Arabidopsis thaliana: one gene and its partners. The protein of the gene in region 1 purifies or fractionates together with the protein of each later gene. This does not show direct contact. Each region holds a gene or a part of one and is shown on either strand. Other genes may lie near its edges.

Region 1 (7,953 bases):
TCTCCCTTATCACGACTCCACCGCTTTCTCTCTCTCTCTCTCTCTCTCTCTCTATCTTTCTCTCTCTTTGCCGCGTATTTGTGTGGTTCTCGTGATAATAACAAATTAAACCCTACTTTATAATATCTCAGCTAAAAAGGAATATATTATTAAGCTATTTATTATGGTAGTGTCTGTTGGTGCTAAGCTCGAATCTCCTGCATCTCAACCTACAGTAATTATCCACAGATAAACCGTCGATATTTCATAAATGCCGTCATCTCCAATCTGAACCGTAAGCTTTTATCCTTTATTTAACTTCTCTAGCCTTTGCCTAATATATTCTCCGCTTTCCATTCCAAGTTGTAACAGGTGATAAATGGTTTCCTTGACTTTTCGTACAAGTTTATATATTTTCGTAATAGTGAATTATTGTTTCCTTCCCTTTTTTCTGGCTCCTAAAATTTCCATTTTTCCGTCAACAATATTTTCATTTTATAATATAGTTGCAATATAAAACTAACCAATAAATCGACGTTAAAAAAAAAAAATGTCGTACACAAACGTGTGATTTCTCTGCAATTGCTTCGTTGTTGAACAGAAAGGCTCAAGAGCATGATTAGTGGCACAATCTTCTCTGAGTCCTACTATCTCTATCTGCGATCTCGAGTGTACACGCTTTCCACTAAAATTTAATTAATTAAGGGTTTGCTTACTCTAAAATTAACTAATTAAAATTCGTATAACCAATTTTGTCATATGCTAAATTTTAATATATATGGGCTTTACAATACCCAAAAATCTTCGTATATGGACTTTCAAAAGCCCAAAAACACTTATTTCTGAGATTTTTTTTTCTAAGTTTTATTTATTGTTTCAGCTTCTTCTACAGTGCAACAGAGCAACAATGGATTTTTTCGACGAAGACAGGCCTAGATTCGTTTTCCAATCTCGTCCTTCTTCTTCTCACACGGCGGAGGAAGAAGAAGAAGCTAGAATCCCTAACAAGCTTTTCATTTCAATCTCCGTCTCAATCTCCCTCATCATATTATCTCTCTCCTTCTTCTACTTCGAATCTGAACCTGCCAAATCGCTACTATTATGGCTTTCCCTCTCTTTCCTCGTCGGTCCTTTCGCTCCTAGCTCGCTCACCGGAGGTAAGATTCGCGTCGGTTATGGTCAGATCTTGGAGCCAGAACAGATTCACGATGAGTCATCCACGGATAACGAACGTGAATCCAGGAGGAAATCGGTGAATAAGCGATCTAAAGGTTCGACGAAGAGCGATAATCCGCCGGAAAATGCTTCTGCGGTGACTGAAGTTTCGAGGAAAGTGGTGATTCCGCAGTCTAAGGAGAGTGGATCTGTGAATGAAACTAAAGATTGGACTGCTGAAGAGATCGAGATTTTGAAGAAGCAGTTGATTAAGCATCCAGCTGGTAAACCTGGGAGATGGGAGACGGTGGCTTCAGCGTTCGGAGGAAGATACAAGACAGAGAATGTGATTAAGAAGGCGAAAGAGATAGGTGAGAAGAAAATCTATGAGAGTGATGATTACGCTCAGTTTTTAAAGAATAGGAAAGCTTCAGATCCTAGATTGGTTGATGAAAACGAAGAGAATTCTGGAGCTGGTGGAGATGCGGAAGGTACTAAGGAGATTTGGAGTAATGGAGAAGACATTGCATTGCTCAATGCTTTAAAAGCTTTTCCTAAGGAGGCAGCTATGAGATGGGAGAAGATTGCAGCTGCAGTACCTGGGAAGTCGAAAGCAGCTTGTATGAAGAGAGTTACTGAGCTTAAAAAAGGGTTTCGGAGCTCGAAAACTCCAGCTAATTAACTAGAGGTAATTGATAAACTAGAGTCTTTTGATTGAAAAAGATACTCTTTATTAAGGTAATAAACATGCCACAAGAGCCTTATTCCATTGTAGTTGCTACAACTTTGCTGTATAAGCTTCCTAGGCTTGTTGATATCTCCATTAGTGTGAGTTACACTGAAGATGTTGATTTTTAATCTGGAGAGATTGAGTTGATGAAATGCTGACAATGTATTCTTATGCTGATGTTTTATAGGTTACTTATGAATTAGGTCGCATAACATTATAGGTAAAAAAATTACTGTCTAGAATTGAGAAGGAGATCTTTTGAAAACAGTTAGAGTAAGCTTCTAAGTTGTAACTCTAGTTATCCTACTTATAGAGTCCTGGCTCATGTTCTTGATGTTGGGGTGGCTTGCTTTTTGATCCATGAATGGTTCTATGATTAATCGTTGGTAAAAGTGTGCTGAGCCACTGTGTTTTCCATGTTTCTCAAGTTTAGAATGGAATGAAATGGTTGAACAGAATAATGCCAAAGCCCAAAGGCATACTTTAATTGGTTTGTTAAGCTTAGTACGGAGCATTATAAATTTAATATGGAAAGATTATGTTGATGAAATGCTGATAACATATTCTTTAGCTGATGTTTTATAAGTTACTTATGAATTAGGTTGCTAGTTGCTGAGAGGTCTCGTTTGAGAACAGCTAGGGGAAAGACTCTTGAGGCATATTTTCCATGTTTCTTATATGTCATGTCAAACCCCATCGGTTTTCATGAATGCTTTATGCTAGTTTCCTGCAGCTTCTTTGCTGTCTTTTATATTTGCTAGTTGCTGGTCAAATTTGGTAATGCAATGCTTTGAACAGAATAATGAAAAAGGCATGTTTGGCTAGGAGAAAGATGGCGTCAACTTGACATAGAACTGGTTTAGGTTTATAATACTGGTAATGGTGTCTATCCCTAGTAGAGTTTAATTGGTATAAATTTCCCCCTGTTGCTGAATGATCGGTTCACAAACTACTATAAAATCTTGGAGTCCTCTGTCATGTTAGATTCGATCTTAGGGAAAGTAATATGTCTGCATTTCATGATTTTCTATCTTATTTTGGTAGTCCTTTGAGATGTGCAAAAGAAACCAAATGTATGCTCAAGTATGTGATCAAATAGAGCTATACTCACAAGTTGACATTTACAGAATCGAGTCAAAATAGTCTAAAACTGCTCTAATTTATGTTTACACAATCTTTTACTGACATAAACCTTTTGACGCAGGACATCTGTACGGGATTAAGGCAAATACCAGGAGAGGAAAAACAATTTTGTGTTTGCTGCTTGAGATTATTGCTACAACGCCCAAAGTAGTGAATAGAGTTCTGCAGGAAGTTTCTTTTAGAGAGAAGAAAAGAAAGCATCTCAATATGCCAAAGAATTTAACATAAAGTTATGAGTTCTTCTTTACTTCAAGCTTTGATTCGAATTACAAGACTTGAGCATCTGTGTATCCCCTCCCCAAAGAGCACCTATTTTATTACTAGGGAAATATATAAAAAGACTATATATATTCTTAATCCAAAATTCCAAACTAGAATTTTCATATAATATTCTTAACATTTTTATCACTACAAGTCTTCAACAACAACCGCAAAAGCTACCCCACTAAATCTCAACCGTTGGATCAGATAATTAGTGACGATAAACGGCATGCGATCCATTATTATCCAACACCAAATAGTCTTCGTGGTTCAGTTTCTCCACCGAACACAACCACGTGCTACATTACAGAGTCAACTAAACCGGAAATCACCGGTTTTATAAAAAAGAGTTTCACGGGTTTACCGACTAAACCGGTAACTCTCAATAGAAACTCAAAGCACGTCTGTGTTCACCACACGTTTTATCAAAAGTCTAAGCTACTCTGCAATTCATTTGCCGGCGAAAATTCTCAGGTGATTGATTCTCTCTTTGTTTTTTTCTGATTTATCATATCGATTCTTCATAAAACTGGCATGTATTCGAAAAAGATCTCTTCTCTAGGTTTCACATGATTCAATTTTTTCATTCTATAACAAAATAGATCTTGCGATGCAGATTTTCTGCTGAGTTTTTCATACGAAATTGTTGCGGGATCTCTATTTTCCATTCGAGTTTAGGGTTTCATGGCGGAATTTGATTCATAGTACGTTTAAGTTTAGGGTAATTTTTTTTTTTTGGTTTTTTTTTTTTGCCGAATCCTAAAATTTTCAGAAAATGAAGCTCAAAGCTTGTTTTCGGTTTGATTCGAATGTTGATTTCGATTTTTTATTCTTTGATTTCATCTTGGATTTGTTTATTCTTGAATCAAGTTTTGAGATTTATTCGTTTGATCATCAATTTCAATCTCTCAGGATCATTTGCTCAGCTAAAAAATGGATCAAGAGTGTCCCTTTGCTGCCGAAAGCATAATCCAGAAATGCCCTTTCCTGAGAAACATCAACAAGCCTACCAATTTGTCCTTCTCCTCCTTGAGTTTTCCAATTCCGGTAAGAATTTCTTACCTTTTCGGTTAAAAAAACTATAAATTTTTATGCTATTTGATTCTCTGGTGATGAAGTTTATGTTTCCTTGGATAATAGGTGCAAGGAGGTAAAGGTCCTATTTTTGAAGATGGTCCTGGATTTGATTCAGCATTCAAGCTCTTCCATGGGAAAGATGGTATTGTGCCGCTTTCTGGTTTCGCTGATGATTCTGAAGATGAGGCGGGTCGTCGTGCTCTGCAATTCAATCCACTTGCTGGTAAGGTAGCTACAATAAGCCTATCAGCTTTTGGTCCTGGAGGCCCTTTTGGTTTTGGTCCTTTCTCAGAGAAATGGAAGAAACAACAGAAGAAACCTAAACCTTCCAAAAACCAACAGGTAGGATTTGATAGATTGTGTAAAACTTTAGAATTTTACAAGGAGTTACTGTTTCTGATATCTTTTTGCTTGATTGCTTGCTTATTGTAGTCTGGGGACTCTTCGAAACATGAGGCAGTTGGAGACGAATGGTTAAAAACCGGGAATTGTCCTATCGCCAAGTCTTTTAGAGCTGCAAGCAAAGTCATGCCTCTTATTTCTAAAGCATTAACGCTACCACCTGGTATGAAATATAGATGTCCAGCTCCTATAGTAGCTGCTAGAGCTGCACTTTCGAAGACTGCTTTGGTCAAAAGTCTTCGCCCTCAGCCTTTACCTGAAAAGATGCTTGCAATCGCTCTCATGGGAATGGCTGCAAATGTGCCTCTAGGTGTATGGAGAGAACACACAAAGAAGTTTTCGCCTGCATGGTTTTTGGCTGTCCATGCTGCTGTGCCTTTTATAGCAATGCTTAGGAAATCTGTTCTGATGCCCAAAACAGCCATGGCTTTGACCATTGGAGCTTCGATCTTGGGACAGGTGATTGGGTCAAGAGCTGAGCGTTACCGTCTCAAAGCAGTAGCTGAGAAAATGGTTCCTGTAACCGCTATGGTTTCTGGATACAACCAGAGCCCTGGCGACTCAGGCATTTCTGGGGGACATTGTGGTATAGGGGAGGGAGTGAAGCAGGTTTATTACAATGTAAATATTGGAGAGTCTGCTAAATCAACTGGACTCTGTTATTGAGAGAATGTTCTTATTGATTTCAGAAACTACAAATTACTATGTAAGGATTGGATATTTGTGTGTGAGGGAAGGTTTTTGTAATTCAGTGAATTGTGTAAACCATAACAATGGTGTCGTTTTATCCCTTCAAAATGGGTCTAAATAAAAGGTTAATAATTCCCTCTTTAACCTCTCTTACAATTCAAAAGAAAGTTATTGACTTTACTTCAATCAGAAAACTTAACCTCATCTAGTAATAAAGAGAGTTATACAAAGAAAACAAAAACACAAAAAAAAAAAAAAATAGAAAACAGAAACACTAAAAGACCCACGAAAAATGGAACTGAAGCATCCTAATGTTGTAGATAAGTAAAAACTTAAGACGGTCAAAACAGCATCTGACCATTGTTGATGATAATGATGAGGTGAAATAGTCACTTAAGTTTTTCAGTAGCTGCCTACATGTTGCCTTGGCATACCTCCTCCTGCATTTGTGCCACCCATGTATTGTCCTTGTGGCTCACTCATAAGGGTTGGGCAGTTTGCAGAAACATGGCTGTTGCTGCGACACACGTTGCAGCTAGTAAAACCGCCAAGAGACCTTGCATCACTACTGTACTGATTTCCATATTGACCCACTTGGTTTGCTGCAGGTAATCCAAATTCTCTGCGTGCATCGACTGATGCGGTGTCTCTAGTTCCTGAGGTTCCAACACCGGAATTAAATGCATCAGACCTGTAATTGGAACTCTCTGCCTTTATAGGGAGAGAATTTGCATCTCCTATCTTGAGTTTATCTATTGCCTCTAGCATGAACCTGGTATTTGAAGAATAATTCAGCTTTTCAGCTTTCACAACTGTTGCTTTAACCCGCTGCTCATCGCTGTAAGTTTCTTCTTTAATCTTCAGCTTGAAAATGTACTTAGTAAAAGCGACACTGCGGATGATATCTTCAAATTTCTCCTCATCCTGATTTTCATACTTCACATAATACAAATCTTTTGCAGACATTCCCATTATCTCTTCACCAGCTTCTTGGAATGCAGTTGCCCAGGTTAGGTCTGTATGGTCCTGTAACTGGATCTGTAATATATACCTGTAGTCACATTCATCCACGCATTTGTCACACTTCTCACAACGCCATGTCCCATCTCCGTTATTTGTGACCTTTTTGCTGCATGGACGATCTCCATTCATGATAGGACAAGCCGTATAGCAGAAATTTTCAACCTTCATGAATGAAATGGTGGCACAGACTGTGATCCAGTCCGGCTTCTCTGAGGTCCCTAGCTTCTCGTCCTTGATCTGTGCAATTACCTTGCGAACTTCTTGTCTGCCAACACCGGAAAACTCTCTAGATATGGAGGTAAAATGAGCATTCCTTCCTTCTCTCTCATACCATTGCCTTAATTCTCTGGCTTCAGGGAAATCTGGCTCTATAAAGAATTGACTTGCTCCAATTGTGCTCACTTGCTTCCCGTTGAATTCACCGATCCTGCCCGCTTTCAAAGCAAGAACCGGGAATACCCCAGAATCACAAAGATTTTGCAATTTCTGTCCTTCTGCGTTGCAGAAATTACCCCACATGGTTACCTCAACACTTCGGCCTGACATATCCTTCAACTGAAGAGACCTTTTCTGTACCTCAGTTAAGTTTTTCCGCATAATTGCTACTGTCGGACTGATGGACGAAACAATACCAATTACATCAGTGGTGCTGTTGTTCTCCATGTTTTCAATATCACCTATGTTACGAAAATGGAAATGATAGCGTGGAATGGTACCATCATCTTCACAAGGCTGTATCGTTGATGCAGAGTCCAAATGTATTTCATAATCATTCGGAAGATGATTAAAGTTCTTCTGAGCAGGCTTCAAATTTCCCCTTGAAATCAGATAAACATTACCAACTACAATCTTGTCAAAGAATTGATCAACCGCATCATTAAAACAAGTCACCCGTATTTCTCCACCATCAGCATCAAGAAGATCAAAACTGAACAACTTCCCTTCCCCACGCGGATTATTAAACCGCCTCAGGTCTGCCTTACTCGTGACCCTAACCTTGATGGTCCACCGACCCTGGTAAGGATTAAGAGCAGCAATCGGATTTATCCTCGGAGGAGCTTCGTTCCTAGCCACAGGTCCCCTGTTAACATACATCGGTGGTTGTTGTGGCTGATAAGCTGACTGAACCGGACGGGAATAAGCAGTTGTTGCAGTAGGAGCCCGAGGTTGGTCCTGCCTAGAGCCTCCATAACCTGCATTTGAGCTCACATACGGTCTAGTGGAAGGTGATGTTTCCGGATAACCAGAACCAGTACCATATCTTTGACTAACTTGAGGCTGTCCATATCTCCCAGCGTCGGGACTGTTATGAACAACTTGACGCTGAGGTGAATTAGCCGATACACCATATCTTCCAGCGTCGGAACTGCTATGAACAACTTGAGGCTGAGGTGAATTAGCCGATACACAGTATCTTCCAGCGTCGGAACTGTTATGAACAACTTGAGGTTGAGGCGAATTAGCCGATACACCGTATCTCCCACCATTCACAT
Region 2 (8,592 bases), on another chromosome or scaffold:
CTGTTTCTACAAATTATGCAGAAGCTCTCCAAAAGAGTCTTTTGTATTTTGAAGCTCAACGTTCTGGAAAATTGCCTCCGAACCAAAAAGTTACATGGAGAGGAGATTCTGCACTCAAAGATGGTTCTGATGCTCATGTAAGTTTAATATCCAATTACTTATTTTTATTCCATATTTTTTTGTGTAATGAATATTTATTACTTGAAGTAAACTGTTTGCTAATTGTAAAAATAGATTGATCTCACCGGAGGGTATTACGATGCCGGAGACAATATGAAGTTTGGATTTCCTTTAGCGTTCACTACGACGATGCTAGCTTGGAGCAACATAGAGATGGGATCAGAGCTTAGGGCCCACCACGAGCAAGGAAACTCGCTCAGGGCTCTCAAGTGGGCCACCGATTATCTCATTAAAGCCCATCCTCAGCCTAATGTCCTGTACGGACAAGTGGGTGAGGGAAACTCGGACCACAAATGCTGGATGAGACCTGAGGATATGACCACTCCGCGTACTTCATACCGCATCGATGCTCAACATCCAGGTTCTGACCTAGCAGGTGAGACAGCTGCCGCAATGGCGGCAGCGTCTATCGCCTTCGCACCATTTGATAAAGCCTATGCCAATATACTCATTGGTCATGCAAAAGATTTATTTGCATTCGCTAAGGCTCACCCTGGCCTTTACCAAAACTCCATTACTAACGCGGGTGGCTTCTACGCGAGTAGTGGATACGAAGATGAGTTGTTGTGGGCTGCAGCTTGGCTCCACCGTGCTACTAACGACCAGATTTATCTCAATTACCTAACACAAGCATCTGGTACCGGAGGTCCAAGAAGTGTTTTTGCCTGGGACGATAAGTTCGTGGGTGCACAAGTCTTGATGGCCAAGGTAAGTTATGACTATTTCACTAAAGAAAACATATCACTATCTTATGTGGCAAGAAACAAACATAACACAAAGTTTTGCAAATGCAGCTTGCACTTGAACGGAAAGTAGGGAGCAATGGAAAGATCGCAGAGTACAAGAGTATGGCAGAGCAGTTTATCTGCAACTGTGCTCAAAAAGGTTCCAACAACGTTAAGAAAACCCCTGGCGGTTTGCTCTACTTCTTGCCGTGGAACAACCTCCAATACACCACAACCGCTTCTTTCGTTCTCTCAGCATATTCTAAGTATCTCACAAAGGCAAAAGCCTCCATCCAATGTCCCAAAGGTGCTCTTCAAGCTTCTGATCTTCTCCAAATCGCTCGTTCCCAGGTAGTTAATAAAACCTAATATAGTACCAACTATAAAACATGTTGTTGAAAATATATCAAGACTTTTTTCAATATAATATATACTAATTTGCGATTTCCTCATGTTATATAGGTTGACTATATACTTGGGTCGAACCCCCAGAAAATGAGCTACATGGTTGGAGTTGGGACCAATTATCCCAAAAAACCACACCATAGAGCAGCCTCCATAGTATCGATCAGAAAGGACAAAACACCAGTGACGTGTAGTGGAGGGTATGATAAATGGTATAACAATCCTGCACCAAACCCTAACGTTTTAATGGGAGCACTTGTCGGAGGACCCAACGAGAACGATGTTTATGGAGATGAGAGGAGTAATTTCCAGCAAGCTGAGCCTGCGACGGTTACTGTTGCTCCGTTTGTTGGTGTCTTGGCCGCCGTTTTTTAATTTTGTCTCTCCTCGTTTTGCAAATTTGAGTATGTTTGCTTTATATCTTATATAAGTCATAGGTTTAAGGTCTAAATGTAACTTGGCTTTAAATAAAATAAAATAAAATCCAGATATTTCACAAATAAATAATCTTCAACGGTAAACTATCTACATGATTGGATCCAAATTGACGAAAAAAAAAATATTGTATTCTTAAAAAGTTTGAAAACGTGGTTCCATTAAATCTTCTTCTCTACAAAAGTGTTCCCTTCTTGACAATCACACTCAAGTCTAACATTTTTACAGCGGAAAAGAGTTTGTACATTATCAGAAATTCATACTACTGAGAGGCTATAAGTACATTCTTTACCCTTTTTCCATCACTCAATCAATCCCCAACGTCGAAAATGGCTCAATGGCTCCCTGAGAATATCAAAAAACTTTATTAGACACAGAAGTTCTCTTCAAGCGAAAATTGCAAGTAGTGTTTATGTTTTACTCACCGAGCAATCATCATGAACACGCCATATGGTCTCCCCAAGAAGGTTTGCTACTGAGAGAACTGTAAGCTGAGGAAAATAGTTCTTCTCTGACAATGGAATCGTGTTGGTTATGATCACCTCTTGAAACAGTCCGCTCGATAGTCGACTGATTGCAGGAGGGCTGTTTCCGAATATAGACACAAATGCATATGTCAGCTTCTTTCTCTTTTTTTATAATTCCAACACAGAGAAAATATTTCATGGACTTACCTAAAAACGGCATGAGTGGTACAAGCGTATACTTCTCTTGCTCCTTCTTGGTGTAACAGAGCCGCACCTTTGCTTATGGTTCCTGATATGATATACCTAACGTAAGTATCTAAGCACAATGGGGAATGTTTACAGATATGCAGACCGTGACTTATTACTCACCTGCTGTGTCAATCATGTCATCCACCATTATGGCTACTTTCCCTTTAACATCCCCAATTAAGTTCATCACCTACATGAAACGGGTTGTTAAATGTCAAAATCCAGACTTGGTTAAAATGTATTTTCCAAAGGTTTTTCTACCTCTGCAACATTGTGCCCATGACGTCTTTTATCAACTATTGCTAAAGGTGCATCAGATAACTTCTTCGCAAAAGCGCGAGCTCTTGCGACGCCACCAACATCAGGTGAAACTACCACCAAATCTTCAGAGGATATGGCCTTACTTGCTAGGTAATCAAGTATGACAGGCTGTTCATGAATATTAAAGCACAAGGAAAAGAAGACATAAGAAAGTCTATTTTCACAAAAAGGAACTTGATGCTCAGAGGAGTCATTTAAGAAAAACTTTTTTCTACCTGGCCATAAACATGATCGACTGGAATATCAAAGTAGCCCATAGACTGTCCGGAGTGAAGATCACAAGCAAGGACACGGTCTGCACCAGACTGTGTAATCAAATTGGCCACAAGCTTGGCTGCAATAGATTCACGTCCTTGAGTCTGCAAGAATATGTACAACGAAAGAGTCAAATGAAAAACTCTCAACTAGAAACTAAGTGAAGCCAGAGGAATGAGACAATCGATAAACCCAAATCAGCTTCATACAGATAACTAAGCTGCCAATTTGATTACTTGATTACTTCCAAATACTAACTACCATAGATCTGACTTAAACTGACAATCGATTACTCTTGGAGACAAATCATTGTGCATGTTTTCACAGGACGATTGAATCCAAGACAGATTCTATAGTTATAGAAAAAGACTTGCCTTTCTATCAGCTCGTGCATAACCAAAGTAAGGAATCACAGCCGTGATAGTTTTGGCTGATGCTCTCCGACAAGCATCAATCATAACGAGCAATTCCATAAGGTTTTCATTTGCAGGTGGGCATGTAGGCTGTACAAGGAACACATCACATCCCCTTACACTCTCTTGTAGCTGAACATAGATCTCACCATCAGCAAAGCGTTTAATCTTGATTTTCCCAAGGTCCAGACCCAAATAGCAAGAAATCTCCTGTATCATCAGCGTAAAACACCAATGAACAAACAAGACGATTCCAGAATATACTCTAAACCAATTTCTTCCTAATCCTAATCTTTGCAATTGAACAAATCTCCAGTTTTAAGCTACTAATTCCGAAGTCTATATCAGTTTCTTCCTAAACTAATTTCAGTTCCAAGCTACTAATTCTTGCAATTAAATCCAAAGAACTCCAACGACTAACAAAGCTAAGAACGAACCTGAGCCAAAATAGGATTAGCAGTGCCGGAAAAGATACGAAGTCGTGTGGTGTTCTGATAAATCGAATCTTCCAAACGTGTCCTCGAAAAGCTAGCCGGAACGGTGTCGCCAGTAAGCAGATGGAAACCGGCAGAGTTTCCGCCGTCGAACTTGTACGGATCCGCCGCGTTACACTTCTTTTCAATTCCACAACCAACAGAAACAATCGAGAACAAGATTCATCAGATTCGAGCGAAGAAGACCGTATAAAGTACAAATACCAATAGAAAGATAATAGTCGGAGAGAGTGAGAGAAGTAGATGAGACTTACAAGAGGAAATCGAACGGAAGAAGGCGGACGAATCAGAGAAGAACGCCGGAGATTTAGCGCCGGGAAAGTAGGCGATGGTTGAACAATAGACGCCATGTTCGAGAAATGGATCCGGAGAGAGAGATTTTAGGGTTTTGAGAAAAAGCAGTCTTTTCTTCTTCTTCCCCGCGAGATACGAATTTGACTACAAGAAAATGACTCTCTCTTCTTCTTCTTCCTTTATATACTCAAAAACTCATTTCTAAGTTTTTAACTAACCGTAACGATTTCCGTTAAAAATATAACTGTAATTCAGATTCTTTAAATCTCATTCATTGATACAACATAGTCTCTGGAGATATTATATCTTTGGAAGGATGAGAAATGCGAGATAAAGTCGCACCATGTTACAACGTTTGTTATATAGCTCAAACGCAATAAAAACTCCGATGAAATTCGGTTTATTTTCGGAAGGTCTCAAAAACCATTTACAGTTTAGAAAGCCAGAGCTCGAGTTGTTAGTTTTCTTTAGGATGTAACTCCATATGGAAGCAATGCCGCAGCAACGACTCTTCCTTCTTCATTCAGAATGTTGTACGTTGATGCAGCATTTCTCTGAATTAAAAGTAATCAATATAATAAGCGAATAAGAAGTTATGAAGTAAGCTTGGGACTAGAAAAGAAGCCTGTAGAAATGGATTAAGAAACTTACAGAATCAACTGTTTCTAGTTTCATGCCAAGGGACTTGACAAACTGACGGACCTCGGGAGTTACCGGGTGAATGTCTCTTCCACAACCAACAATCAAGAGCTCTGGACAATTCGATGATTTAGTTTAGAATATCTAATAAGAGCTGAGATTGAAGCTAATATGCAGCAAAAGTTAATCAACCAGAGGTACTAATACAGTTTTATTTTCATACTGATGACTCATGGGTACACAAATATTATTACCTGGAATAGGTCGAACTGTCTGGAAGATAGACAAGCTGCATCCATGGAAATAGAAATATACAAACGTTTAGCCATTGCTCTCAATGACAAAAAAAAAAAAGAACACTTGTCGAAAATAAACCAAATGTTTTATCAAACACTTCAAATTGATAAAGCTGTCAAATCCTCTCATGACAATGAACATTGAAAACCTTCAACCAATCTATTGCCAAAAGCACACAACTTTCACTCAAACACAGTCATAAAAATCAGCTCAAATCGATATAAGGTTGTGACAGAACATTGGTGAGAATCAAAGGCCTGAGAAGAGAGAAGATACCTATCAGTGGTGATCTCTGAAAATTTACGAGGACTCCATGACATTAACAGATTCCCAACACAGAGTAAGCTACCTTCGTATTTGACTCCATTCACAGTGAAACTCGTATCATTAAATCTGCAAAGTAAGTGAAGAGAATCAATCAACCACCACATATTTATACATTTCCAATTCCAAAAACCCTAATCATTCATTAAATCAAACCCAGAAACACAGTCGGTAAAAAACAAAATCAACGACGAAAAACAATAGAGAAAGCTTGGAATTGATTACTCTTGGAAGCGAAGCTGGTCTTCAGGAACATTGTCAATGAGATTGATCTGATCATAGAGGGAAAAAGCTCGTCTCAGAGAGGGCAAAACAGGATTAGAATGCTTCGGAACTTCTTTTCTCATACTTTGAATCAATTTCGGCAAAGTCGCCATTGATTTCAACCTCATCGCCATCTTCGTGGCAGCTCAAAGTCCTCAATCGTGATTTTCCGATTTCCGCAGCCGTCGAGACTCGAGACCTTTAACCAACCCGGTTTAATCGTTTAACTCTACACCATCATCGGTTATCGGATTTCATTTCCAAAACCAAATTCGTTACTACGTTTATTAGATAGACCTAACACGTCAAAGCTCAAAAATTCATCAATTTGATCAGATAATTGATAAAGTATGTATTTTGTATCATTTGAAACATACTTAGAGAAAAAATACAATTATGTGGAGATGAGAAAAAATACATAAACTTGTATGCGTTCTCCACTTCATTATTAACCAAAGATTAAACTTAAGAACTTTTCAGATTTTTTTTTTAATTTCTGTTTCCAAAAATTCAATAGCTTGCTTAAAGGTTATCATGGAGAGTAGAAGGAAGGAGCTGGGAGGAAAGGAAACGGTGCAGCAGAGGCATAAGCCACCGGAGGTTGAGCCACACGTTTCTTTCGCCTCTGAGTTTTGACTTCACCAGATACAGAATTTGTTAATCCGGCTTCTTCTACGAGTTGTTGCTGATTATCATTAGAGACACGGTGTAGAAGAAGACCAGACATGAAAACAGGAAGGAAGAGAAGACTGGCATGGAACATTTTCCTTGCTTTATGCATGGTCCGGTCTCGGTAGAATGAAAATGCTGTTGCAGCGATTGCTAGTGTGAGAAGTGTTGATTCGAGGCAAAACCAACTTGAGGTTAACCCCCCTGTCACAAAAATTGGAAGGAACAGCAAAAATCAGATACAGCAATGCAGTCAATAAACTACAAAAAAAAGATGAATCTACAAGACTCACAGTCATAGGCGATGAAACCGAGAGGGATCATGTAAAAGCAGTTCCTTAGAGCCACTGCTGCTATTCTCTTCCCTGACGGATCAAAGAGTGACAACATCTTGTAACTGAAAACAAGGTACCAAGAAACAAAATCAGAAGTTGGGTCGCGGAAGCTGGAAACAATGTTCGCGAATGTTTATCTCTAACGGAAAGAACTCATTATCTAGCCACTAAAATGTCGACTGCTGTGACACTATCTAGGACACTCTGATCATTCCACGAAATTGAACTAGTTCAAGATCAACACTACATGGAAGGAGACATTCTAATCTCATATGACACCATATGGTCTTACCCTCCAGCTGCATAATCATTGCGGCAGAGATGTGCAAGGGCCATAAAATGAGGTATCTGCCAAAAGTAAAGAGCAGCTGGAAGAATCATCGAATTGTATGAAATCTGACCAGACGCTGCCGCCCACCTGACAACACACAAAATAGATAAGCATAGAATTGGTGAACCATGACTACATTTTGAATTAAAAGCAGTATCCAACAAAACAGAATCTGCTAAAATAAAGAAGAAAAGGAACAAAAATTTACCCAAGCAAGGGTGGGATAGCACCAACAACAGCGCCAACCCATGTATTGATAGGGTGAAGTTGCTTCAACGGAGTATAAACAAACGCATAAAGTACAAGATTGGCAGATGCAAGTCCAGCAGCCAACATATTAGTCTGCAATAACCTTGTCGTGGAAGCAAAAGTTTAGATCCATAATCTCTCAATCACCCATTCATAAAACAAAGAAATCACATATAAAAAAACAAACATTCACCTTGCTGGCCAACAAACAAGCACCAGAAGCACCAGCAATAGTAGCCCATGCAACAGCGTGTGGAACACTAATACGTCCTGAAGGCAATGGCCTTAGCATCGTTCTTTTCATCTTAGAATCATTGCTTATCTCAAAAATCTAGAAAATGAAAAAACAAACAAGCGAGATCAACTACCAAGGATTAGAAATTTTTAAACTTTTCAACTACATAAACATAAGCAAGCAAGATCAACTACATAAACACAACAAGGATTCGAAATTTATGAACTTCTCAACATTTCAATGACCTGATTCAAGGAATTAGCAGATGCAGCAATCATCATGGTTCCTGCACATGTGTAACAAAGCCCCGGGAAGCTAATTGCAGCATTTCCCGTACCCAGAATATACCCAGTTCCAGAAGTTGCAACCACAAGCATACTACAACCATAAAACAAATGAGAATTTAAGAATCCAACAATTGGAAATTTTCAGATTTTTCATGAGAAAAGAAAAGTAAACACATACCTAAGTTTAGCTTTAGAAAGCTCCCAATAACAACGAGCGTAGTGATGCCCTAATCCAGCCAAAGCCGCAACTCTAGACGAAATCTCACCGGTGGTAGCTGTAGCTGTAGCGGCGGCAGTAGCAGTGGCAAAAACTCGATTGGCATCAGATCTAACACCAGTGATCCCTAACTTAGCAGTTGATTCCGTCGAGACCGGAGGCTGGGAGAAGCTATTAACGGCACATAATTCGCGGGACCAAGGAATCAGTCTAGGGTTTGGTAACGAAGAAGAAACAGAGATTCTTGAAGAGAAACGATAAACAACAGATCTTCGCCACATCGTTAAGCCGTCAGAATTTTCTACGCGTTGGAGGAGAACGAGAGAAACTTCTTCATCATATGAACAGATTGGTTTCAGATTACGACGAGTCACGGTGACTCCTTCACTTTTACAGGAAATGATAATTAAAATTAATATCTGGGTCAATCAAATATATTTCAGAGAATTCAGGGGTACTTGTATAATTAAATAAAAGTATCAACATGTTGGGCCATGGTTGTTTTTC
Region 3 (7,398 bases), on another chromosome or scaffold:
AGTTAATTTATGTGGTTTGTTTTCAGTGGCTCTGAGCTACTATCTACTTGGCTGTTGATTTTATTTCTTTTCTTTTCCATTGATCTGCTCTTCTTTTAGGTAAGAGAAATCCGGAAGATGATGATTTGGAGACCAAACCGTTTCTCAAGAAACATAAGGACGAGGAGAAGAAAGTAACGTCGGATCACTCCACTTTTTTTTTTTAATACATACACCACTTATGTATGTATGTATGTGAATGTAACAGGAGGAGACACCGGAAGGACTTGCTGATAGCCTCCAGCACAAGTCTGATCAAGCTAATTTAATCTCTCTCAAGGTTTAATATTGTAATAAGTTTTATTATGTTCAAATTAAGCATCTTGTTCTCCAAAATCTGTTCCAACGGCTACTCGCTTAACAGGAGGAGGAAAGTACTGTGGAAGGACGTGATGACACTCCCGATTTTGTTGAGGTAGCTACCTCTCCTTATGCAATTTTGTTTTGTCCTTTTCGTCATGCTAACACAAACTTCTGCTTGGCTGTTAAATTCAGGAAGCTTCCGTGATAAAAAAATACGCTCTTTATGGGCCGTATCCCTCACCGAGCCCCATTATCACATATCGTCGCTTTCTTCAAAGATGTTGGAGAAGTTGTTCATGTTCGACTTGCTATAAAACGAGATGGTGGGCGTACTGGCTCTGGCTTTGTTGAGTTTGCTTCTCCCTATGAAACAAAAAAAGTGAGACCAGTTTTTTTTTTCTTTGAAAACTTGTGTATAGTTAGTTATATGTTTAAACGTATCCAAGGTTATTTTCTGACGTTTTTTTCACTCTAGGCACTGGAAAAGAAGGATGGAGAATGTTTGCTCGATCGCAAGATTTATCTTAAAGTGCCTAAGCTAAGCTCTTCATTGACTCTTCCTACGTAAGTAAACATGATTTTTCCACGTTTTGTAACTGATTGCTAGACTTTTTGATACAATATCACAGAAGACTAAGGCTTTTCATTTTTTGATTAATTAGGTATTGCATAGATCACCAGGTTTGGTAAGGGAACAAGACTTTTTTTTGAAGTTTTTTTGTATACATGTAGAGATCACTAGCGTTTTCCATTTTTCTAGGTACCAAGACTTCCTTCCACGACAAGAAGATGAGACACCTCCCGCCGATTTTGCTGAGGTACCACCCTACTGCCCTCATTATCTTCAAAACGCTCGAAATGTTTACTTATTTTCTGGGGCTGAATCTTGCTAGCTACTTTTTCCTTGTTTCCTGCTAACACACTTGTTCCTGTATAATGCACAGGAAGTTCTCTTTGTTGCCAATCTCTCCCCCCAAACTAAGATATTAGATATGTAAGTAGCACTCCCACTTTTCTTCTCTGAGCAAAGAAAAAGTAACTCTCCCATCACTCATATTTTACCCTCCACTTTTGCAGCTTCGGTTTCTGTCAAGATGTTGGAGAAGTTGTTAGTGTTCGACTTATTGCAAACCATGAGGACAAGCCTGTGGGCTGTGCCTTTGTTGAGTTTCTTTCTGCCAACGAAGCAAAGAAGGTGAGACTGGTTTTGTAGTCATGATGGACGATTTTAGTATTTTACTAGTCATTTTGAAAATTAGTGTATACAAACTTATGATGAAAAACATACTACTAGTTTTTTGAAAGCTGGATAGCTGATTAAATCTTTTTAATACTGTAGGTGCTGGAAAACAAGAATGGTGAATATTTTCATGGTCATAAGATCATTTTGATGAGAGGACATGGTGAAACTCCCGATTTCGCTGAGGTACCTCTTCTTGTTGTCTTCACAATATGTCAGGCTCAGCAGAAACCTTTAATAATAATAACAGAAATCTTGTGTTTTTTTTTTGTGCAACCTTAAGTCCTTTTCTTCTTTGCGTCGTGCTAACTCACTTGGCTGTTAAACGCAGGCTGTTGCCACAAGTAAAAAAAAGACGCTCTTTGTTGCCCATCTTACTCCCCAGACTATAATATCAGATATGTAAGTAGCACCTTAAGATTTCCTCTTTCGTTATTGGAGCAAGTTTCTCATGACTAATATTTTATCCTCCACTTTTTTACAGCATCGACTAATTGTTAACCACACTGGCAAGCATGTGGGCAAGGGATTTGTTGAGTTTGCTTCTGCTAAGGAAGCAGAGAATGTGAGAGTTGTTTTTCTAGTAATTGATGAAAAGTAATGTATACAAGTCGCAGTCATTTGATTAGTTAAACCGTTTATTTATACTCTAGGCGCTGGAAAAGAAGAAGGGTGAATATTTGCAGGATGGCGAGATTTTTCTTAAGGCGGCTAACATAGCTCCATTCCCTCCACCCAAGTAAATTAATTTTCCATGTTATGGAGATTTGTTGCTGTCAACTTATTGCCACCACAGAAGACTAACACTAATATTATATTTCTTAACTAGGTGGTGCGTAGATCACAAGGTTTGGTAAGGAATTTTCAACTATTTGCATCTTGAGGGTTTGTTATCAAGAGCACATTGGGTGAAGTTTTTGGTATACATGTAGAGATCACAAGGGTTGTTTAATGTTCCAGGTACGAAGACTACCTTGGACAAGAAAGAGATGAGGCAGCAGTGGAAGGACTTGCTGAAACTCCCTATTTTGTTGAGGTACGCGTGTTGTTATCATCTTCAAAATATGTCAGGCTCAGAGGGGAAATGCTCAAGTGTTTGATAACAAAACTGTTACCTCCTTAGAGCCATGCTAACACACTTGGCTGCTAAATACAGGAAGCAAGAAAAAAGACGCTTTTTGTTACCAATCTCCCTCCTAGAACTAGTATACAAAGGATGTAAGTAGCACCTTTAGTTTACTCTTTCGTTCTTGGAGCAAGTTTTTCATGACTGATGTTTTATCCTCTTCATGTTTACAGGTTGTATTTCTTCCAAGACTTTGAAGTTGTTCGTGTTCGACTTATTGTTGACCAATCGGGTAAGCATATGGGCTGTGGCTATTTTGAGTTTGCTTCTGCTAATGAAGCAGAGAAGGTGAGTAGTTTTTATAGCAATGATGAAAACTAGTGTATACTTACTTATATGATGAAATTGTTTTGATGAAATATTTTTATACTGTAGGCGCTGGAACAGAGGAATGGTAAAAGTTTGCGCTATCACAAAATCTTTCTTGAGCTGGCTGAGATAGCTCCATACCCTCTCCAACACATGTACATTGATTTTCCATGTTATTGCTCTAGTTTTGATGTCATAACAGAAGATTAACGTTATCATTTTTTGTTAATTAGGTACAAGCTTGCAGAGAAGCTTTGGTAAGGGATTTTTTAACTACTATTTTGCCTTTAAGAGATTTTTTGTTATCAAAGGCAAATTCGGTGAAGTTTTTCGTATAAATGGGGAGAGATCACAAGGGTTTTTGATACAATGCAGGTACGAAGACAACCTTCTACGAGAATCGAATCTGAAGCAACAGAAGGCAAAATCCAACGGATTCTGCGGTAAGAAGATTACCTTCTCTTACGGGGACGACTGCTAGAAGATGAAGAAGCTCTCTTTTTACGGGGATTAGTGTAGACACTGAAATTATTATCCATAGTAAACTGAAAATTCAAAAAGGGAGTACGGCTTACAGGTCGGTCTGATTTCGGTTTACCAAACCGGTTCACAGTTTCACACAGAATATCAACATTACTGGTTCATACACCTTTTACAGGATCATTCAACACAAGTACACAAAACATAGGCAAGAAGCTCTCCATTTATCATCATCCCCTCCACTGATCCTTCTTGTTCCGAACTTCCCTCATTGTATCAATTGGCGACTTGCAACCGAGTTTCTCCTGGAAAATAACAAAGTTAATCTCGATATACGACAAGAAAGTAAAGATCGATATCAACAGTGATAGCTGATAAAACCGAATCATGAATTGTTCAAGAAGATGAACCAAATGGAGTAATAACCTGTATCTCTGGCTTATCAACACGCATAAATGGATTTGTTTCGAGCTCTTCCTCCAGTGTTGAAGGGATTGTGGGAAGATCTGCTTGGCGCTGTTGACGGGCCCATGCTAACTTCTGTTGTATCTTCCCGTTGTTTGGTTCCACAGTTAGAGCAAATTCCAAGTTCTTAACGGTGTACTGAGAACCATAAGAAATGAATAGCGGATTATTCAGTTTATAGGCATCCATTTTTATGAGTTAAGAACTCAAAAGACATAATGAAGCTGTTGATTTTTTTACCTCATGGCCGCAGTAAACCTGTGTCGGTTTAGGTAATGCAGCCAGAGTCACACACAACGACTGATACATCTGCTCAGCTGTCCCTTCAAAAAACTTCCCACATCCAGCAACAAACTGTATAAAATCAAAGTAAACACAGCTTAATGTTTAACTCATAACTATCTCCATTTAGACATTTACAGAGATAAAAGATCTACGGAGAACATATAGGGTCCATGGTAGGGAAGAACAAGAGGATTCAGCTTAATGTTACCACTTACAAGTGTATCTCCGGTGAACACGGCTGGGTTTTCTCCTTCTTTTCCGTTCACATAATAACTAATGTGACCCTTGGTGTGACTGTAACAAGTAGATATATCAGAGGAATCAGCGATGACAAGAGAAAATGACTGAGTTAAACATCAAGTAGATTAGATGCATCTAAATTCATTGGAAAAAAAAAAAAAAAAAAAAACAAACCAAGGAGTGTGGAGAGCCAATATGTTAATATCCTGACCCAAAGTCAGCTTGTCACCATTATCAACCGCATCAGTGCAACCCTTCACCTTATCCAGAGAACCTCCATATACTTTGATATCAGGAACCAACTGCTTAATCTTCTCGTTTCCACCGGCATGATCCCTTTGATCATATCAAGCCACCAATCAAACAATGAGTGTTAAAATAAAAACGTCGCCTCAAATCCAAATTTCATCGAAGACAAAGGCAACCATCATATGGTACATATATAATAAATCTTGCATCTTCAAGAGGTGAAACATTAATGCAGAAAGTATCAGACTTTAACAAAGAATCAGACTCACGAAGATGAATCTCTAAGTCAGTTGAAACTGATAGTAGGAAAAAGCTAAACACTTGATCAGAAAACTGAGAGATTTAACAATAGACTTGTACTAATGTTAATGTCTAGGACCGGAATCTAGCATATGTCGATATCACTGAGTAATAAGAACCAACAGAGAATCTCGGAGATGAATCAAATAAGATAAGTTACCAGTGACATAGAGAGAAGTGAGGTTTACTTACCAGTGATGATGCGTAGTGAGTACGAACTTGATCTTAGCTTGGTGCTTCTCAGCCGATGCGATCACCTTCTCCGGATCAACTGGATCCACAACCGCCGCGTCTCCGGTGCTCTCATCGATTATCCTGTTTTTTTTTTACGAAGAAAGAATCCTAAACTGATGATGAACCGAGTCAGATTAAGAAGCAACGAAATTGAAGTAGGATATCAAAATGGCTCACAGATAAGAGTAGTTGTCTTGCAGACAAGGAACGTGGAAGATCTTCATCGTCTCCTTAGATCGATCGTCCTTCTCCTCCGGAACACTAGCTGTATCATCATCATCATTTATGTCTGGACTAGTGATTTATCTATTTCGGTTTACTCAAACCGGATCGAACCGAAACAAATCAGGATAAATTTTGCAGCCGGTCATCCGGTTCAATTGTAATTGTAACTGAACCGGAATCGGATAAAAAACATAAGCTTCGTTGAGAATTGTTTATTTTAGGTTTTGGGGGAGATTCGTTCTCGTACTGTGGATTGTTGTTGTTGGGATTATCTGGGAAGAGAAAAAGAAAATGGGGAAGCAGCCGGTGAAATTGAAGGCGGTGGTTTACGCACTTTCTCCGTTTCAGCAGAAGATCATGACCGGTCTCTGGAAGGATCTGCCGGAGAAGATCCACCACAAGGTCTCTGAGAATTGGATCAGCGCCACTCTTCTCGTTACCCCTGTCGTTGGAACCTACTGGTACTCTATCTCTCTTTCTATCTCTCTCATCAATCGATTGGTAAAGGAACCTTTGGATCGAGTTCCGATCTGGTTGATTGTTCTTCGATCTGTGTCATCGGTCTTGTGCGGCGCATATGGATATAGGGTTCTTCGTTTGTGTCATAGGAACAAATGAGAAATGATAGGATTTAAGTTAGTTTGAGATGAGTATTAAGTGGAGTGTAGTATATAGAGACTCTCAGCTAGAAAAAGTCTTCCAGGTATCAAATTAGTATTGTTGATGAACCACTCTGTGGAATTGCATTTCAAGATGTTGAGGATTTAAATGGCTTAGTCGTAATCATTAGCTGATTAGTGTGGTTCTATTAAAACTGTTGAGTTCTTGCTTGTGAAGCTATTAGTTACCTGATCGATCTAAACATTACGGGTGCTGCATATTATGGTCTAGTTTCTAGTCATCTTTTGTGCTTATTCTTTCAAATACACACAATGAATGCAGGTATGCTCAGTATTTCAAGGAACAGGAGAAGCTTGAGCACAGATTCTGAAGCATGAAGTCACTCCTTTTCTACAAGAACCTGACAGTTTGAAGTAATTTCTTTTGTTTCAAGCCTATAAATTTCACAAAAACTCTTGTGGGAATCTTCTGAGTCAGTTTTTCTGAAACTCTTTTGCTAAATAAATGTTTGGGTTTCATGACAATGACTCTTGTTGTTCATCTTTCTTGATATATGGTATGAAAATTGGATTGAATCGAGTAATATATTGATCCCTCAAAACAACTATTAGGCAAAATCAAACGCTGCCTATGTTCCCTTAAGACATCAACTACAAACAACTATTAGGCAAAATCAAACACTGCAAGTCTGCAACCACTCCTACAAGGTTTGTGATGAACAGAGTCGTTGGTTGGACTAGAAATGTTGTCCATTTCATCAAGTACAGTTCAGCGGAGTCATTCTCTTCGTCTAAGGCTTTTGAGGTAACTGTGAAGTTGGTGTCGATACCGGCTAGGACTTTAAGTAGACCTTGGAAGACTGCAAATTAGTGATTTATATAAAACTACACGATTTGCCGAAATTTATTTCACTTTTGTGACGCAAGATAAAATTAAGCAAAACATAATTTATTTCAAAACGATTAATATAAAATACCAAAATGTCACAAAAATCAAAAATAAATAAACACTCCCTCGACAATACTGATCACTTAACCGGTTTTAAAACCAACAAAAGGCAATCCTTTAGTTCTTTAAATAGTTTTAGATAGAACCGACGGAAACGGCAGCTTTGATGAGTAAACCAAAGAGAACAAAAGGGTTAGAGAAGAAAGGAGAATGGTCGCTCTCCAATTCGTAAACTTGGCTAGGTGGCCACCGTCTTATCATCGCGTCTTGCTGCTCCGGTTTCATGACCCGGTCGAGTAACGTCTTGATGTACACGCGCGGCACTTGCTCCTCT
Region 4 (7,016 bases), on another chromosome or scaffold:
CAAAGAACTAGTAGTATCTTTTTTGTCCAATCATTTTCATCTTTCTTTGTTGTTGTTAATTTTATCATGATGTGTAAATAAAAGGTCGTAAACTTACTAGAGAAAATAAAAACTACAGAAATGTATTAAAAACAAAGAATTTTAATCAATTCTTATGAATATTTAGTTGTTTTATTGATATTTATAAATAAAGAACAAAAAATATCGGCGATATAAAAAGAGGTAAATTAATCTGAGGGCAAAAATAAGAAAAGCATCCAATTTCGTCGGAAGAAGAAATCGCCATGGTAGCCGCAACAGTAAACCTCGCGAACATGACATGGACGTCGTTAAATTCAAATCCAGCAATCTCTTTCTCCATGTTAAGCGGAATCAGAAACTTGGGCATGTTACCTTTCAGGAGATGTCTAAAGCCGACAGTTATCGGAATCGCGTCGTGGCCACCACTCCGTTGTTCTTCTGTTAAGGCTATGTCTTCATCATCGTCTTCGTCTGGATCGACATTGGAGGAGACTGTTAAAACGACTGTGGCAGAGAACCCTGTCGTTGTTTACTCCAAAACCTGGTGCTCGTAGGTTCACTATACTTTTTGGTTCAATTAGAGGAATGGGTTTTGTTAATTTATGATCTAGTTTGTCAATATTGATACTTTTACTGGGTTTGTTCTTTTTGGTGGTGAAGATACTCGTCTCAAGTGAAGTCCTTGTTCAAGAGTCTTCAAGTTGAGCCACTGGTTGTTGAATTGGATCAACTTGGTATGCTCAATTCTTTACTTTGGTTTGCTATATGGGTCTGAGTAGTTTGCTATATTGGTTTTGATAATGTGTGTGATATTGTTTATATCGATCAAGGAAGAGCTGGTTACAAGTGCCCTAATGTTTCAGCATTTTGACTGGATGAAATTAATACTTGTTTCCAACTTCTTCTTGTTTATCTTCTGGTTCATTTGGCTGCTTGCTTGAATTGGTTTGTATGTTTTTTGATTAGATTTTGATGGAGGATTGATGATGGTTAGGGGGGTTTCTAATGGCCTAAGATAGCTTTACATTTCAGAGATTCTGTGTCTTGTTTATGTGAAAAATTTACTTCCACTGTAGTTTTCCTTGGACCAATGACTTGTTGATGAAGAATCAACGGGTAGGCTAGTACTTCTAATGGCTTAAATTTTTCAAATTGAAGATTCTTTCCTGCCTTTGAATCTTAGACAGTATGCTTCTATTTGTTAGAAACTATTATGTTGCTATCTTCTTAGTTATCTTTTCTCGTGTCAAGATTTGGTGACTTTCCAAAACCATTTGTTCTTTCTTGTCTTGTTTAGTTTCTTTGGGTAAAACATCTCTGCCTCATGATATTGGTCTGAAACATTTACAAAAGTTTTGGTGGTTTTTGGCGTTTCCAGGTTCAGAAGGGTCGCAGCTGCAGAATGTGTTGGAGAAAATTACTGGACAATACACTGTTCCCAATGTTTTCATCGGTTAGTTGTTTCATCATTTAAGCCAGTTACTAACTATACTCTGATCATTTTTCTTGATTATTTTGCCTGAAAACAAAACTATCGATAAAATCTTAGCCACTACATTTGCTATGACCATCACTTATCTAATTTTGATATCATGTTTTTGTTCATGACCAGGAGGCAAGCACATTGGTGGCTGCTCAGGTACAATCTCTCTTCCTTTCTTACCTCAACACCGAGATTTTTCTAATATGTAATTGAGATCGTCTTTGTGTATTTTGGCACCAAGATAGATAGTACTCAAGATCTTGCTCAATGTCTTGTGATTTTTCTGGTAACTTGACCTGCATATCATTATTGTTGAACAGATACATTGCAGCTGCACAATAAAGGAGAGCTGGAAGCAATTTTAGCTGAAGCCAATGGAAAAAACGGTCAGACCTAGAGATTTCTAGAGATGAAACTGGTTGGTGATTCTTCATGTTTCCTTATTGAAGTCGAGATGATTTGCTGTTTGAATTTACTGTCTATATAGAGATTTTCAATAAGAATCTTGTGTTTCTTTCTACGTACAAAAAACAGTCAATGAGTCATGCTGGGTTCTGTTACTAAACCGGAGTTGCTGAGTTTGATCCACACTACTTGGAATTTGCAATCATTTTTGGGTGGCTAAATGCATATTTGGAAATCGATCTTGAGATTGTAAAAGATAAAAGATGAATTGTTGGTTAACTTTTTGGTACATACGGTTTTGTTTAAGATTACAAACAGACGAACCGGTTTAGAGATAAACCATGTCTCTCATTTTACTTCTTCCACCTCGTCCAATGCGTAGTTGTTGGTCGATATATTCGCGTAATTCACCTTGGCGAACCGGACCACAACCGGATATCGGGTCTTCGGGTCCTGACAATTTAGACCGGAATATAAGATGAAACGATATCTAACCGTTAGATCGTTAACTTCAAAAGTAAATGCATTACCTGATCAACGGCCACAACTGATCCAACGTTCTTGTACCAGTATGATTCTTTCCTTAGAATCTTGACCTGTAAGTCCTCAAAATTGTTTATAAATTTCACAGTAGCCCTATAACTCTTAATATGTATACTAAATAGACCCAGAACTTATTGATGATACCCAGTTTAGCTCAAATATTAGTCCAATCTTCTCTACTAGCATCTAATTAAGCTTGAATTTTCTTCTACCACAAGGGTTAGTTCCTTTTAATCCTGATCTAGAGGTCCAAAAACTTCATATAAGTTTCACATTGACCCCATACTTACAAAATTATTCTAAATAGTCCAGAAACTTTATTGTAATCCAAACTTGGCTATCATCAATAAACTCAAAATTTTGAAGTATAAACATGCATCAAAGATTATGTATGAATAAGTACCTTGGATCCTCTCTTTGGGCCAATTGGAGGAGGTTTAGCCTTAGCGGCCGGAACTTTCGCCGGAGCAGCAGCAGCGGTGGTGGAAGAACTATCCGACGAGGCGGTTGCCGGAGGTGTATCTTCCGCCGCTCTGACTACTAGCCTTGAACCGAAGCTTCTCATCGGCAAGAAAGACACAATGGTGGTGCTCTTTGAAGAACCACCGCCTATTGCCGCCGGGACGTTGGCCGTGAGAATAAATCCGGTAGCTGCTGACGTCATCGCCATTTGTGTGTGATCGTTGGAAGTTGTGTGAGTGATCCGAAAAGGTGGACAAAGCTTTAGATTGTTTGGGGTTAAAAGGAATCGTTTTAAACCACTTGTGATATGACACGTGTGATCACATATCAGTATCGTCTGGATAATGTGATGACGTGGCAACCTTAGAAAATGAAATATATAATTAGAGCAAAGAATCTGTAATAAGGGTTGATTGATTTTGCCGCCAAAATTCATTTCTCATCTTCTCCGATTTCAAATTCTTATGAATCGCCATGGACGCGTGATGTGAAATCTCTCATTCTTCATCGCCTTCGTGATTATAACAGCGTTTGATCCACGATTCTGTAGAACGAATTCAGATACTCGGTGATGAGAAGAAGGAATCAGCGAACGAAAGCTGGCGAAACCCTAAATAAGACCGATCCACAAATCGGATTCAAGTTTACTGATCCTTCGAGCGCTCGAGCAAATTCAGGTATCTTACAACATATATTTCGATTTCCGTGAGTTTGTGTGTGTGTTTTAATTTTGTTTCCTTCTGGTGGTTTAGATTTGAAACGCAGGAGAAGGGTGAGTTTCGACGATGCTGATCATCGGAGTCCCTTGAACGAATCTCAGGCCGGAGGATGTAAGTGTTCGCGTCTACTTCACGTGAATAAGCGTAGAGTTTCTTAGAATGTTGAATTTGATTGAAAATCGCCTGGTATTGGTTATTTGCAGCGATTGATGCCAAGACCTCTGAGTTTGCATTCTTTAAGAAGTTAAAGTCTAATTTTGGTCACTGCTCTGAATCTTCTGATTCTAAACCATCAAATAAAGTTCAACAAATTCCTAAAACCTTCGAATCCAGAGCCAAACCAGACAAAGGTTTTTGAGCTTTTCTTTGTGATGATGATGATGATAGTGTTTGCTTGGCTTTCCCCTGGATTTTCATCTATACTGTTTCATAAACCAGGATGTGCAGGAACGGACTGCGACGATAATGGTAGATCCAAGAGCTATAGCTTCTCCACACCCATTCATAGTGCCAGACGTGGGTCGTCTATGTTACATGCCAACTTGACTCAAAGGGATAGAGGTTGCTACTTCGATTTCTTGGTGCATGTTTGTGCCACATGATAAGATCTCGTGTCTCTTATCCGGATACTTCTGTAGAATCTCTTACTGGTATTTTGGAAGTAGTGATCCATAAACATTCTTCTGATTTCTGTTGTTTATAGGAAAATGTAATGGGAGATCTTCTTCATCATTCAGTAGAGATAGGTACACAGTTCCAAGTGGTGACAATCTGAGATCTGAAAGTGGAGGTAGATGTTGGATATTCTACTTCTTACATATCAAAGAAGCAAAAGATACTAGTTAACAATTAAGAGATATGATTTTGTAGTTTGAATTATCAGGAATCAGTGAAGAGAAAGGAGATATATTCTCTGTGAAGAGAAAGAAACTGCATCAGTGGGTCAAAGATACATGGCTTACTGAAATCCCTGAGCTTACCTCAAACGGGTACACAATAGTTGTTAATTTATCCTAATCTTAATACTTGTTTCTATAATGCACTCAGAAAATAATCATTTTTCAGGCATGATTTAGTTTCTGTTCTCCTAACTCGGCTGTCCCCTGGTACGGAGGAGACACAGGTAAGCTTGATAGAATCCCTGAGTATTTGTCAATTGCTTATCTTGATCAATCCTCAGCACTTTTTTTTCCTTCTCAGCCTTCTAGGTTTTCCAAGGAGACGACGGCCAGAGTCAAAAGAAGAACGTTTGTTGAATCTCCTGGCTCAAAGTTTCTTAAGAGGTCCCATGAAAGCTATGCAGAAGTTGACCACAGTCTGCATATGGAAAGGGAGAGATTGATATCTTGGCAGGGATGGCTGGAAAATAACATTACCCCGAGGCTGCAGTATCCTCACGTTCAGAGCAGTTTCATCCCAAGAGATTCCGAAGAGATTAGCTTTCCCATCTTATATCCTAAGGAATCAGTTTATCGACCTCCACTGTTGAAACAGAAGGAGTTCCTGTCGTTTCCTGTTGAAGAAAATTTGGAGTGTTCTCCCATATCTAGCCTCCATTTCAGAAACTACAAGCCTTTTTCAATGGATTATCACAGAGGAGAAATTGGATACAGCACAGAGGACTTATCACACGAACATAGAGAGCCTTCATCTGCATTACTTCTCGAGTGGAATACTGAAACCGCAAGCACCAGAAAGACAGATGATTTTCCACTTAGTTATCACACAAGACTCATCACGTATCCAAATGCATCATCCTCATCTTTGACAGACAATCCATGGTGCTCTGACTATTCTTCATCCCATGATTTGGTTACAAGGGAGCTGTACCCTTTACCTCTGCTCTCTCATTCCATTTCAGGCAGTTTCCTCTTACCAACAACGAACCAAGCCAGCCATTTTGAGCATGATGAACTCGAGAGGTATATTATTGATGACGAAGACGTGGTTGCTGCAAACCAAGAGCTCCAGACATTTCATCACACAAACAGCTCAGATTGTTTAACCAGAGATTACACATATTATCGTAATCTTTCAAACTCTCTAGTGGATCATTGTCCTTTTAAAGTCCCTGGATGTGACATAGTATCCTTTCCATTTTCCAGCATCAGCAATTCAAATTTGTTGGAAGCGTCAAGTCCTACAACGAGTAATCGTTTTAAGTCTCATGATTGGATCCCCTTTCAGTTTCAGTCACCTCAAGTTTGGATTGATTCATAGAATGGCTATGAGCTTAAGGCAGCAAAAGAAGAACTACTCGAACCGATTGGTTGCCACAGGTCAGCATCACTCTTACTTACTCACACTGATTTTTGAAGATTGTGTGGCATGTCGTTGTTCTGCATTCCTTTAAGTAACACATTTATGTTAGAAGACATAGGTATCGATGATTTTAGATCTTGTCCGAACTACATTACTGATGAATTGATTGAAGAAGATAGATGAATGATATGATTCAAACCGACATAGACTGATTATATGGTTGAGATGTTAAAAGAATCTTTATACCAAAGTTATTCATGGGGACATTAGTAATTGGTCACCATTCTTGACGATTTCTTTGTTTCTGTTCTCTGTTTTTTGATGAACCTCTTAGACTCTTCTCAACTACCAAAGTAGTTGGAACTCATTTAAAAAAAAAATCACTAACCAGATTGAGAAAGGTGGAATTTAAAAAAAAAATGAATAATGGAAGGAATGTAATATGTAAATGCAGATATATATGGTTGGTTCTTTCATAATTGCTTCCCCCTAATCATATTAATTTGATGGTACTTTATTTCACATCAATTATCATTACTTTGAGTCTCTCCCCAATAAATTTTGTAATTATGAATTCTTTTGTGTGTATGGTCAGCTGAAAAATTGTAGTGTTTAAAGTTGTATCCGGAAGTGATTTTTCGAAAGGACTAATTTATGAGACAATATTTACTTGGCTTACACAATTTGACAAAAATTCTTTAGATTAAGATGATCACAATGCATATTCACAAACAAGAAGCTTCGGATTCCTAAAATAAAACTTCTAAAGCCTCTGCAACATAAAATTCTCCAGTTTAATATGTTTCTTGCTGTTGCAAAACTGATCCAAGACACTTGAAACGATATTTTAATGTTTATAATTTTGTCACAACAATCTTTAATAAGAGAAGAATAGTTGTGAAAAAAAGAAAAAAAGAAAAAAAGTACAGCAAGAACAGCTAGTCTCCCTTAACCCAACTTCGTGTGAATGTACCACACTATTACCATCTTCTCTTTTGCTGACATCTTCCTGGCCCAAATTAGTTAGTTAGTATTTATTTCTTATAGTTATATACTCTTAATTTTCATAAATACAAACATCTATAACCAAAAACTAACATTTAGTTTTTCACTAGAGGGAC

The links.
Region 2: the proteins of AT5G45410 (region 1) and AT2G44530 purify together in Arabidopsis thaliana (affinity purification with mass spectrometry, with the first as the bait; one large-scale study listed by BioGRID). This does not show direct contact.
Region 3: the proteins of AT5G45410 (region 1) and AT3G10860 purify together in Arabidopsis thaliana (affinity purification with mass spectrometry, with the first as the bait; one large-scale study listed by BioGRID). This does not show direct contact.
Region 4: the proteins of AT5G45410 (region 1) and PSAE-2 purify together in Arabidopsis thaliana (affinity purification with mass spectrometry, with the first as the bait; one large-scale study listed by BioGRID). This does not show direct contact.

What each region holds. Positions count from the first base shown.
Region 1 is NC_003076.8:18,399,531-18,407,483, reverse strand, and holds AT5G45410 (zinc finger B-box protein), read left to right. Parts: upstream 1-3,536; 5' UTR 3,537-3,742; exon of another isoform or gene 3,743-3,989; intron 3,990-4,180; 5' UTR 4,181-4,201; coding exon 4,202-4,315; intron 4,316-4,408; coding exon 4,409-4,687; intron 4,688-4,777; coding exon 4,778-5,413; 3' UTR 5,414-5,576; downstream 5,577-7,953. Other genes in the region: maMYB (Duplicated homeodomain-like superfamily protein), read left to right, coding at 887-1,816; RPA70C (Replication factor-A protein 1-like protein), read right to left, coding at 5,840-7,953.
Region 2 is NC_003071.7:18,379,434-18,388,025, reverse strand, and holds AT2G44530 (Phosphoribosyltransferase family protein), read right to left. Parts: upstream 4,512-8,592; 5' UTR 4,295-4,511; coding exon 4,199-4,294; intron 4,065-4,198; coding exon 3,888-4,064; intron 3,661-3,887; coding exon 3,412-3,660; intron 3,142-3,411; coding exon 2,998-3,141; intron 2,891-2,997; coding exon 2,723-2,890; intron 2,652-2,722; coding exon 2,582-2,651; intron 2,502-2,581; coding exon 2,420-2,501; intron 2,331-2,419; coding exon 2,171-2,330; intron 2,091-2,170; coding exon 2,052-2,090; 3' UTR 1,818-2,051; downstream 1-1,817. Other genes in the region: GH9B9 (glycosyl hydrolase 9B9), read left to right, coding at 1-137, 235-888, 975-1,256, 1,368-1,685; AT2G44525 (NADH dehydrogenase ubiquinone 1 alpha subcomplex assembly factor-like protein (DUF498/DUF598)), read right to left, coding at 4,706-4,792, 4,890-4,990, 5,132-5,166, 5,451-5,567, 5,724-5,896; COX10 (cytochrome c oxidase 10), read right to left, coding at 6,295-6,635, 6,725-6,828, 7,059-7,184, 7,306-7,439, 7,540-7,677, 7,827-7,959, 8,047-8,366.
Region 3 is NC_003074.8:3,394,029-3,401,426, forward strand, and holds AT3G10860 (Cytochrome b-c1 complex, subunit 8 protein), read left to right. Parts: upstream 1-5,546; 5' UTR 5,547-5,786; coding exon 5,787-5,956; intron 5,957-6,437; coding exon 6,438-6,486; 3' UTR 6,487-6,727; intron 6,728-6,783; 3' UTR 6,784-6,898; downstream 6,899-7,398. Other genes in the region: AT3G10845 (RNA-binding (RRM/RBD/RNP motifs) family protein), read left to right, coding at 1-14, 100-173, 248-319, 404-454, 818-906, 1,103-1,160, 1,287-1,336, 1,420-1,537 and 9 more; GLY2 (Metallo-hydrolase/oxidoreductase superfamily protein), read right to left, coding at 3,728-3,802, 3,924-4,100, 4,203-4,316, 4,463-4,541, 4,662-4,823, 5,229-5,351, 5,448-5,494; MES17 (methyl esterase 17), read right to left, coding at 7,200-7,398. UniProt on the Arabidopsis thaliana protein: Component of the ubiquinol-cytochrome c oxidoreductase, a multisubunit transmembrane complex that is part of the mitochondrial electron transport chain which drives oxidative phosphorylation.
Region 4 is NC_003071.7:8,732,886-8,739,901, reverse strand, and holds PSAE-2 (photosystem I subunit E-2), read right to left. Parts: upstream 3,169-7,016; 5' UTR 3,123-3,168; coding exon 2,856-3,122; intron 2,506-2,855; coding exon 2,440-2,505; intron 2,363-2,439; coding exon 2,258-2,362; 3' UTR 2,135-2,257; downstream 1-2,134. Other genes in the region: AT2G20270 (Thioredoxin superfamily protein), read left to right, coding at 285-571, 682-755, 1,319-1,474, 1,634-1,660, 1,825-1,901; AT2G20250 (uncharacterized protein), read left to right, coding at 3,486-3,591, 3,667-3,744, 3,837-3,983, 4,072-4,194, 4,337-4,423, 4,517-4,622, 4,699-4,756, 4,834-5,659 and 1 more.